Callithrix jacchus: one gene and its partners. The protein of the gene in region 3 purifies or fractionates together with the protein of the main gene of each other region. This does not show direct contact. Links are inferred from orthologs where the notes say so. Each region holds a gene or a part of one and is shown on either strand. Other genes may lie near its edges.

Evidence for each region. Proteins that work in one complex are often made in the same cells at the same time.
Region 1: the proteins of E2F6 (region 3) and CBX3 purify together in Homo sapiens (affinity purification with mass spectrometry; 4 studies listed by BioGRID and IntAct, with this or other methods). This does not show direct contact. The link is inferred for Callithrix jacchus from reciprocal best matches to the Homo sapiens genes E2F6 and CBX3.
Region 2: the proteins of E2F6 (region 3) and MGA purify together in Homo sapiens (affinity purification with mass spectrometry; 3 studies listed by BioGRID and IntAct, counting the BioPlex papers as one, with this or other methods). This does not show direct contact. The link is inferred for Callithrix jacchus from reciprocal best matches to the Homo sapiens genes E2F6 and MGA.

The regions. Positions count from the first base shown.
Region 1 is NC_133512.1:31,891,547-31,895,202, forward strand, and holds part of CBX3 (chromobox protein homolog 3), read right to left. Parts: intron 2,371-3,656; coding exon 2,208-2,370; intron 1-2,207.
Region 2 is NC_133509.1:44,834,257-44,837,330, forward strand, and holds part of MGA (MAX gene-associated protein), read right to left. Parts: coding exon 2,030-3,074; 3' UTR 1-2,029. UniProt on the Homo sapiens protein: Functions as a dual-specificity transcription factor, regulating the expression of both MAX-network and T-box family target genes. Functions as a repressor or an activator.
Region 3 is NC_133515.1:103,596,138-103,599,793, reverse strand, and holds part of E2F6 (transcription factor E2F6), read right to left. Parts: intron 3,033-3,656; coding exon 2,877-3,032; intron 1,427-2,876; coding exon 1,312-1,426; coding exon of another isoform or gene 1,308-1,311; intron 1-1,307. UniProt on the Homo sapiens protein: Inhibitor of E2F-dependent transcription. Binds DNA cooperatively with DP proteins through the E2 recognition site, 5'-TTTC[CG]CGC-3'. Has a preference for the 5'-TTTCCCGC-3' E2F recognition site.

The DNA of each region.
Region 1 (3,656 bases), on a different chromosome or scaffold from region 3:
CAGGCGTGAGCCACAGCACCCAGCCCCTATCTTTTTTTTTTTTTTTTTTTTTTTTTTTTGAGAATTTCACTTTTGTCCCTCAGGCTGGAATGCAATGGTGTGATCTTGGCTCACTGCAAACTCTGCCTCCCAGGTTCAAGTGATTCTCCTGCCTCAGCCTCCCAAGTAGCTGGGATTACAGGTATGTGCCACCATACCCGGCTAATTTTTTATTTTTAACAGAGACAGGGTTTCTCCATGTTTGTCAGGCTGGTGTCGAATTCCCAACCTCAGATGATCTGTATGTCTTGGCCTCCCAAAGTGCTGGGATTTCAGGTGTGAGCTACCACCACGCCCCGCCCCATCAGAGTTTTATATCAATGTGACAGGCTCTGGCGTCACACTGCCTGGGTGAGAATGACAGACCTACCCTGCTCATGAGCTGTGTGGCTTTGGGCAAGTTAATTAACCTCTTTGTGGTAAGGTTAATAAAATAGAATTTTAGTATCTACTGCATAGGTATTTCACAGCACATGAAATGCAAATGATTTGGAACACAGTATGGCAAATGGTAACAGTTCAAAAAGTATTGTTAAAGTTGTGCTCGATTATCTAATAATTTTTTGTAACAAGGTCTTGCTTTGTTGCCCAGGCCAAAGTGCACTGGTATGATCACAGCTCACTGCACCTTGATCTCCTAGGCTCAAGCAATACTTCTGCCACAGCCTTCCAAGTAGCTAAGACTACTAGGCATCCACCACGTCTGACTGATATATTTTTTTCTTTGTAGAGACGGGGTCTTACTATGTTATCCAAACTGTCCTCCAACTCCTGGGCTCAAGCAATGTTCCTGCCTTGGTTTCCCAAGGTGCTGGGATTACAGGTGCGAGCCACTGTGCCTGGCCAAAACTGTGCTTCTGTTGAGCACATGATTTACTTTCAGAACCAAATATATAGTCAATCTCATTTCTTCATCCATAAAATAGTGACTATACCTATGACCTTATACACAATGAGTTGTCATGAAGGTAAGACTTCTTGGCTTCTACTTCAAATGATCAAGTTTCAAATCCCAAGTCCTTACCAATTAATATGTATTGTCTGTTTAGTGCCAGAGCCTAGAATCTAATTCAGCACAAAGATATCTCCCCAAATTGCCATACTAGGTCAGTAGGCAAGACAAGTATAATCTAGTTTTACAGTCAAGGGTAGAAGTAAGAGGTTACTTGACTTTCTGAAGCCACAGAGATATAAGTGAAGCAAAGATTGGACCAAAGCATATGTATACTGAAGGAACTAAATAGCTCATTTCATGCCAAGAATATGTGTAACAGTTTTTATTATCGAAGATTATATACTTCAAAATCAGTGCATTGTTTGGCAATACTAAGATGACACACAAGTACTTTTTGATGGTCAATGCCATTAATGAACTATAATCAGAAAGTTCTCTTTACATTGTTCTTACTGTAATACAATGGCTTTCAATAATCCAATCTTAGTATTGTTTGTACTAAAGATTGCTAGCCTTGGATCACGGGTGATTGGTTGGATCAGTGATCAACTCCATGAAACTAAGAAAAACTGCCCAAGTGGTATAAGCACTTACTGCACATTTACATAATGTAGACTAAACCACACCTATTCTTATTGCCCTAAGTATTAAAATATTTAAAGTAGAATTAAGAGGCCTTTTAGAAAAGTAGTTGAGATTTTTTTTTTTGAGACAGAGTCTCACTCTGTCGCCCAGGCTGGAGTGCAGTGGCACAATCTCAGCTCCCTGCAACCTACACCTGCTGGGTTCAAGCGATTCTCCTGCCTCAGCCTCCTGAGTAGCTGGGATTACAGGCATGTGCCACCACACCTGGCTAATTTTTGTACTTTTAGTAGAGATGAAGTTTCACCATGTTGGTCAGGCTGGTGATCCACCCGCCTTGGCCTCCCAAAGTGTTGGGATTACAGGCTTGAGCCACTGTGCCCAGCCTGAGTTTTTAAAAAACCAAACCATCAGGCGGGCACAGTGGCTCACGCCTATAATCCCAGCACTTTGCGAGGCTGATGGATCACCTGAGGTCAGGAGTTTGCACTGGACGGGGAGGTTGTAGTGAGCCAAGACTGCGCCACTGCACTCCAGCCTGGGCAACAGAGTGAGACTGTCTCAAAATCAATCAATCAAGCCATCAACCTTTTACAAACGGACAGGCTGCTAGGCAATACTGTATACTTACAGCATCTCTTTTCTTCTTTGATTTGCTGTCATCAGATTCACTGTCAGATAAAGATTTTCTTTTTGTACCATCTTTTTCTTTGCCAGCTTTTTGAGAATTAAGAAATGCTTCAATCAACTCTGGACAATCTAAATTTTCTTCAGGTTCCCAAGTATTGTCAGCACTGTTAAAAAAAAAATTCAATTAAACATGATTCATCCCCATTACCCAGATCCATTTTAATAGACACCTGGGGAAATAAAAAGTCCTCTGTACTGCAGATACTAATCATTTCCTCCTTCCCTACATTTTATTTCTCCCGACCCCGGAGACAGGGTCTTGCTTTGTTGCCCAGACTTGAGTGCGGTGATGCGATCAGCTCACTGAAGATTCCCAACTCCTGGGTCAAGCAATCCCCTGCCTCAGCTCCCACTCCCCACTCGCCCAGTAGCTGGGACTACAGGCATGCACCACCATACCCAGCTAACTTAAAACACTTAAAAAAAAAAAAAAGAGAAGGGGTCTCTCGCAGCTGGTCTTAAATTCCTGGTCTCATGTAATCCTCCAGCCCTGGACTCCCAAAGTGCCAGAATTACAGGTGTTAGCCACTGCACCCAGGCCCGACAAGTCTTTTGAGAGAAATCTGCTATTTTACTTCCAAGTGAAGTAAACTTTACTGTAACAGAATAATTCAAACGGCTGAACAAATGTAAATTCCCAATTCCCACCCCAAATTAGTATGTCATATCATGTCTAGGGTTGGGACCTCCAATGCCATGTTTTAAGACATAATGATTCTGAAGCATTAGACATTTTCAATTTTTGCTGGGTGTTCAAATTGGGAAATGGTATAGAGTGGGCTGGTAAACCAAAAGCTAAATCCAGTCTTTTGTATGGTTTGCAAACTAAAAATATTTTTACGTTTTTAAATGGTTGGAAAAATATTTCAAACTAAATTATACGTAATTTGAATTTTAGTGCCCACAAATGAAGTACCATTGGAACACATCCACACTCATCCGTTTAGATGAGCAGAGATGTAGAGACAAGAGACCTGTGGCCCGAAAAGCAGAAAATAATTACTACATGACACTTTAGGGGGAAAGGTTGCTGACCCCTGATACAATGTAAGGCTGAGATGACTATTTCTATGGATTTTTTAGAACTGCTGTAAAAAAGAAAATGAGTATCAATTAATAGACGTGAAAGTAAGATCACCCTACACCAACAACCGGCTTGCCAACTTCGTGCTCTGGTTCAAAAAAACCTTTACAGAACTAGGTGTGATGAAGTTAGTAATTTTAGGGACGCTGGGGTAACTGGATCATGAGGTTAGGGGATTGAGACCAGCATGCTCAACATGGTGAAACCTTGTCTCAACTAAAAAAAAAAACCACAAAAATTAGCTGGGCTGGGGATGGGCGCCTGTAATCACAGCTACTCAGGAGACTGAAGCAGTAGAATTGCTTC
Region 2 (3,074 bases), on a different chromosome or scaffold from region 3:
AAAAAAGTGTTAAGCTAAAATGGTCCTTCTTTTCCTGAGGATTGTTCACTCACTTGCCTGCTCCTTGGCTGACCCTCAAAAGCCACAAAAAGAGCCTTGGGAAATCAGGAGGAAATGTAGGGAAAAGACAAGCAAGGAAATAATTGGAAACTGCTATACCTGGATTAAAGTACTAGCATCTCTAAGGACAATTATTAGCAGGGGAGACAGGTGCTGGATTCCTTGGCTAAGGCATTGAATGAAAACTGCTGGGTAAACAGTGGAAGGATAATGAGAAGCTGAGGAGCACTCTTTACCTACTTCAAGCTTCTTTCCTAAGCTGTAGAGAAAGGAAGGTTAAGTGCTGATGAGCAGATAAGAAAGGCAAGCAGCACAAAACCAACAAGAATTTGCTCCCACTGCAATTTGCAGAGGAAGTTTTTCCAATGTTTTCAATCTGTTGATAACCAGAGTTAACAGAAAGGGAACCAACCATGGAAATAATAATTCACTGGCTAGATCCAATCCAAAATTGGTCTCACAACCTAGGTCTGAAGATATGCTGAGTGGGATTTGGGATAAAGAAGACAGGAGATATAGAAGAAATAGCATCACCTAGGCACGGCCCAGGCACTGGAAGCTCTTGTGTTAGTGTTTTAACAACACAAGCAAATCCTGTCAATGAAGACAGAACAGGGGTTACATTCCAAAATATAATTATTTAAGAAAGGCAAAATGCAGCAGCTAAATCCCAGTCTATACAGTTTCAGAATAGTGATTCTTGCCCCCAGGAGTTTCCATAGACCCCCTCAAGTGCACCATGATTATTTACAAATTAGATAGGAAACATCATTTCTATACTCAATACAAATCTCATCTTCTGGGTTGAAAACTTCAGCCTTTGAGAAATCTATGAAAACAACTATACAAAAATATAAATATCTTTATCTTTACAGACTGTCAGTCCTTCATATCCTGACAGCTAATGAGTGAAAAAGCTCTACAGATCATTGAACCCATGGTTGCAGATAAAAAATATATCTTGTGATTCAAATACTGCCTTATTTCCCTGGTAAAGAGTGCCTACTGTGACTTTTCTTTACGTCCTGTGAAGGTAATAGTGAATGAAACCTTCAAGCACCAGGAGGCTGGTTTGATTTGAGAAATTTCCAGCCCCATGATTTTTTATTTTGGCCACTGTCTCTGGTCTGGGGAGATAATGCATTTTATTTTAGCTGTCTCCTGACTGATATAACCTGTGGAAGAGGTAGGGCTCCCTCTATGCCTACCTCCAAAATATATATTCCCAGTAAAAATCCCTGGTAATGTTTAATGATCTTTTCAATACCCACAAAAATAAGGGAGAGCTATTTTTTTTAAGATCTCAAAATAATTACCTTAATAATAAAAGTTAAAAGCATCCCTACTTTACCGAAGGCTTGAATTTGTTAATTCTGGTTGCAAAGGTGACAGAATGGGAGCTACTTGGGATATGAAAAAAGAAAATTTTGCTGAATGACACAAAGTCTTTCACTTTGGTATTCCATGGTACCCATCCTCTCTCTCACTATTCTTTAAACATCAACTAAAAAGTTATCTCTTCTGGATCCCTTTGCACAAGTCCATCACATTCCTTAGATTTCAGACTTAATCCAACAGCTACGAGTTATAGTTCAGTCCACAGCAACTCCAAAGTTGCAAACAGCTCTTTCTCTTGGGGGGAAGAATTAGAAACCACTGTGGGGCCAGAGTCTTGTTATAAATTCCTTGGGTAAGAGGGGCACCTCGTGTTCAGCAACGAATCACATCTTCTTAGAGAGGATGAGGGGACCCAGCACCACAAGTGAGGTAACACATTTTAACATGATCAGAATTTCAGAGTACTTCTTATACCAGGGTCAGCACCCTACCCCCTTTCTCCATCATTATCCACTGCATCATTGAAGTCAAGGATCCAAGTTCCAAGACACAAACAAACAGATACCTGCAGAGAAAGGAGGTGAAATCAATTTCCCCTCACAGCCTGGCTTCTGCTCAAGGACAAGTAAGTTCATTTCCCTGCAGAACCTGGTGAAGCCCCCAAGTTGCCCAATTTAGCCATAACAGGTGCCAATGTAGGCATCACCTTGCTTTCCCGGCCTTCCTGGTCATTCCCTGTTAAGTTCATTTTGTGTCCAACTGACCCAACTTTGGCAGCTATAGGTGCCAAACAAGGCATCACTTTGAGATTCTGACCATCTACATCACTGGAAGGATTAGCTACTTTTAAACCTAGAGGGGCCAACTTTGGCATAGGCCTCCACAAAGTATCTGTGCTGTTGCTGTTCTCCAGGCCAGTCTTCATGTGTAGGATCGGGGGTGAGGACACACTTTCAGGCTCTGCAGGGAGGCCAGAAGTATTCTTCCCTCCATCAGTATCTTTTTTGTTGGAAAGAAGTGAATCCTTTATTTCGGAGTCAATGACAATCTTAAGGACATCTGGCTCAGAGGCTGGTTCTGCAAGTTGTTTTTCATTCTCAGAAAAGTCATCATCTTCTAAGTGCAAGAGGAGGGGACTGATGGAGTCACTCTCCCCTTGAACATCAGGCAACTCTTTCAAACCAGCTCCCAAGTGCTCAACCTGGAAAGTTGCTCTGTTTCCAGGAGGAACCTTACTGATAAAAGACTGCCGAGCATCCCCTGGGAACTCTGTATCCACAGAGCTGGGTAGTTCAGCCAGGCTAACAGAGTCATCATTTAGTTGTTGATTAAGAAAGGCAATTTCATTGAGCAGTGAAGTCAGTGTTTCATCAGTATCATCCTCATCTTCCATGTTAGTTAGCAGTTCACTGGGATCAAGAGCTGCTTCCTCTATAGCTGATGTTACTTTCCTCAGTTCCATCTCTATGCTTGAGTCCTTGAGATCTTTTATCTTTAATTTATGAAATGAAGACTCCTTTGACTTCACTCTCTCTCCTCTCAATTCACTCTCTTTCCATTTATACTGAATCCCTCTCCTATCACCAGAAATCTTTTTAGGTAAGAACTCTTGTGCTTCCTGCATACTGGAAACATCAACTATTTGTGGATAACCAGAATCTTTGTTTGCCAAAAAA
Region 3 (3,656 bases):
TTGAGTGCTTCTACTGGGAATTATGCTAAATTCTTAAGGAACAGCTCCGGTTATAAATGACTGCTTTAACTGGGAGCTAGTCTAACTGTAACAAAGTCTGTTTTCTCCTGTTTAGTGCAGTTAGGCCTGGGCTGGACACACAGACACCACTGCTCCCTCCTGCTCTTCACTGCACTGTGATCTCATACCAGGGTGAGTATGGGGAGATGCAGCCTCTCAGACGGTCTCAGACCCTCACTTGTCCTTGCTATGACTTTCTAGTACCCAGCAAGTGGGCTAGGGAATATCTGTGCTCAGCTTCTAGAGTGCCAGGTCACATCTGGTTTGAATGGTAAATCCCATACAATTTAACAGATATTTCTAAACAGTAAAAGGAACTAATGTTACTCTCAACTGGAAGCCAGCTGAGGACTTCACATTCCACTAAACTAGTTGTCAAACTTCTGTAAAGGGTGAGCCAGTAAATATTTTTGGCTTTGCAAGTCATACTATCCCTGTCACAATCCCTTAACTCTGCCACTATAGTATAAAAGCAGCCAGAGACACAGTATGTAAACAAATGGGCATGTAGCTGTGTCCTGATAAAAGTATTTCTAAGAACAAGAAGGTCAGTTTGCCAACCCCCACATCTTCATGGTCAGGCTCTGGTCAATTGGGCCCATGTGCACAGACTTGAAATGAGACTCTAAGAGAAGCCTCAGGCATGATCAAAGGCTCAGCCAGATTCAGCAATTACAGTCTGAAGCAGCTCATGGCATAGGGAAAAAGCCCAAAGTCCCCAGTGCCCTGGCTGAGACCACACCTTACTTTTGGAACTTTAAGAGAGGAAAATTCTTGGTGGTTCTTCTAAGAAGCAACTATGAAGCCACCTTAACCAGGTCTGAATTCTGGTGATCCTGACAAAGATAACTCATCTTGTGAGCTTTCGGTTCCTCATCTTTAAGATGAGAATAATGACTACTTGATTTGTTGTTAGTTGAAACAAGTTAAAGGGTATGAAGTGCCTTGAGCAGTGTCAGTATGAGACACACAGTGCACATGCACACAACGGCTCTGAAGCAAACTCTGCCTCCCAGGTTCAAGCAACTCTCCTGCCTCAGTCTCCCAAGTTGCTGGGATTACAGGCGCCTATCATCACGCCCGGCTAATTTTTTGTATTTTTAGTAGACACAGCGTTTCAGTGTGTTAGCCAGGATGGTCTCAATCTCCAGAACTCATGATCCGCCTGCTTTGGCCTCCCAAAGTGCTGAGATTACAGGCATGAGCCATGGCGCCTGGCCTTGGATATTTTAAAAATGCAGGGTTACCTACTTCTCTGGGAGCCGGAACATCCAATCTGGTTTCTGCTGGAGCTTTGACTGCAATGACGATCTGTTCGTGGAAGGCCTGAATGCTATGAATGTCTTGATATGTCACATATGCTAGTGTAAAACTCAGTCAAGGATCTCTATGCAGAATGCTATTTATTGGGGAGATAATTTATCTCTAGTAACTCAGTAACACAAGGGTAATGTTAGAATGTCTTTAGTTTTTATGAGATACAAGTTCACAATGAAGGAAAGCAGTAAAAAAAAAATTCATTGATCATTTTTATTATTCACAAAGATTTTGTAGTGTTTTACAATATTTCCTCAACCTAAAGAGTTTAAGCTATACTATTATAATGATAATTTCTAGAGAAAAATATTAATAAAGTCCAAATCCCTAACACAAATATAGCTCATGAAGAAATTCAAATTTTCATTTGATTCCCTTTTCAGCTACAGTAAGCTAGATCTTACTATAACTTTAAGAAAAAACATTCAGGACTCATCCCCTAAAATCCATAAAAAGGTGTAAACAACTTAGAGACTGTTTCTCAAGACTGTTATGTTCATTACTTCATCCGAAATGATTTTCCTTCTCACTATCTGAGTCTCTTTCGTCCTGTTTCACTGTACTGTCTCAAATTTTACCTCAAATTTACTGGGTTTCCCTAGCACTGTTTTTTTTCCCAATTGGCTGCAGTAATGTTGGTGCTTATTTTTCTTTTCCTTCCAATAACTGTACTGTAGGAATAGAGGTTTCTGACTGCTAGAGAGTTTTAAGTAAATCTGAGGTATGGAATATCTTAGAATCAGTGACCCCCTCACAAAGGGTACCACGGGAACAGCACAGTGTACAGGTCTAAGACACCTAGGAGGTCAGTACCAAAGACAAGGCTCCCCCAGGCCCATTCCCCAGTTCCCAGAGACACTGAGTTTCAAAGGAAAACTGCTATTAAGCAAAACATGCTTCTGTGGACACAAATGGCAGTTGAAGCACCACTTACTTCAATGGCAATTCACTCTGTTTCAGAATCAACTTCCGTTTACAAATTTCTAGGAAAAACATGAATTTCACAAAAGCCAACAAAAATTTATTATCTTTACAGTATTCAGACTATAAAAATGAATGCTCCACTGTTTTAAGTGGCAGCATTGACCTTGGTTTGATACTATACCCGAGGTCATCTTCCAGAATTTAATCTAAGAAACGCCACACCGAAGTTAAAACAACCTACTGCGTACGCTGTGTATGTTTGAGGCTACACTACCAACTTGTACTTACTTAAACTTGTTTTTTGTTGAGATGGAGCTTCGTTCTTGCAATGGCACAATGTTGGCTCACCACAATCTCCACCCCCCCAGGTTCAAGCAATTCTCCCGCCTCAGCTTCACGAGTAGCTGGGATTACAGGCATGCGCCACCACGCCCGGCTAATTTTGTATTACTTTAGCTTGCAATGGTCTAATTTTATATTTTAAATATATAAATTAAGTCCCCAAGCTGACTCTACTATCTAAGTAATCTGCTCTGGAAGGAGAAATTTTAAAAACGTACAGACTTAAAGGATATCTTCCATTTTCTTTGTCATCTGTTAACGCAAACAGCTGCTGAGCACAATCCTTAATTAACTCATCCAAAGCATCTTCCATTGCTGATAAGTCAGAAAGTTCCTCCTGCAGCTTCTTTTGTTGAGGAACTGCTCCAAAATTGCTAAGATCAGATCCTCTTTAAAAGAAAAAAAAATCACCATCAATACCAACTAGGAGATAACAAAGGAATTTGACGTTAGGTTATGGAACCTCAAATGTTTACCATGGGTGTTTTCCACAACAGAAAGTAGGGACTTTCAACTTCTGCCGTCTTTGTTCTAGACAGCCATTATTCCTCCTGTATATAAATTATTCATAGTTCCTCTTACAGTCTTTTGCAAAAAATAAAAAATACATTACACTCTAACAGAAATTAATAATAGCAGAGACAGCCTAAGGAAGCAGAAAGAGCACTGAACTAAGAGTCAGTAATATCCAGCTTAAGCCTCAGTCCTATACTTACAACACAGCTTCTGGTAAGTTAGTGGCAATCTTATAGTACTTGAATTCCTACATATGAAAAAAAAAAGTGTTGGCTAAATGATGGTTCCTCTGCTAAAATGTGATGAGTCTGTATTTTTCCCTAGTGTATGCATTCCATCTGAATACAACAGTTATATTCATTATCATAAAAAAGACGTATTTTCTGGCCAGGCTTGGTGGCTCACACCTGTAATCCTAGCACTTTGGGAGGCTGAGGAGGGCAGATCACCTGAGGTCAGGAGTTTGAGACCAGCCTGGCCAACATGGTGAAACCCCG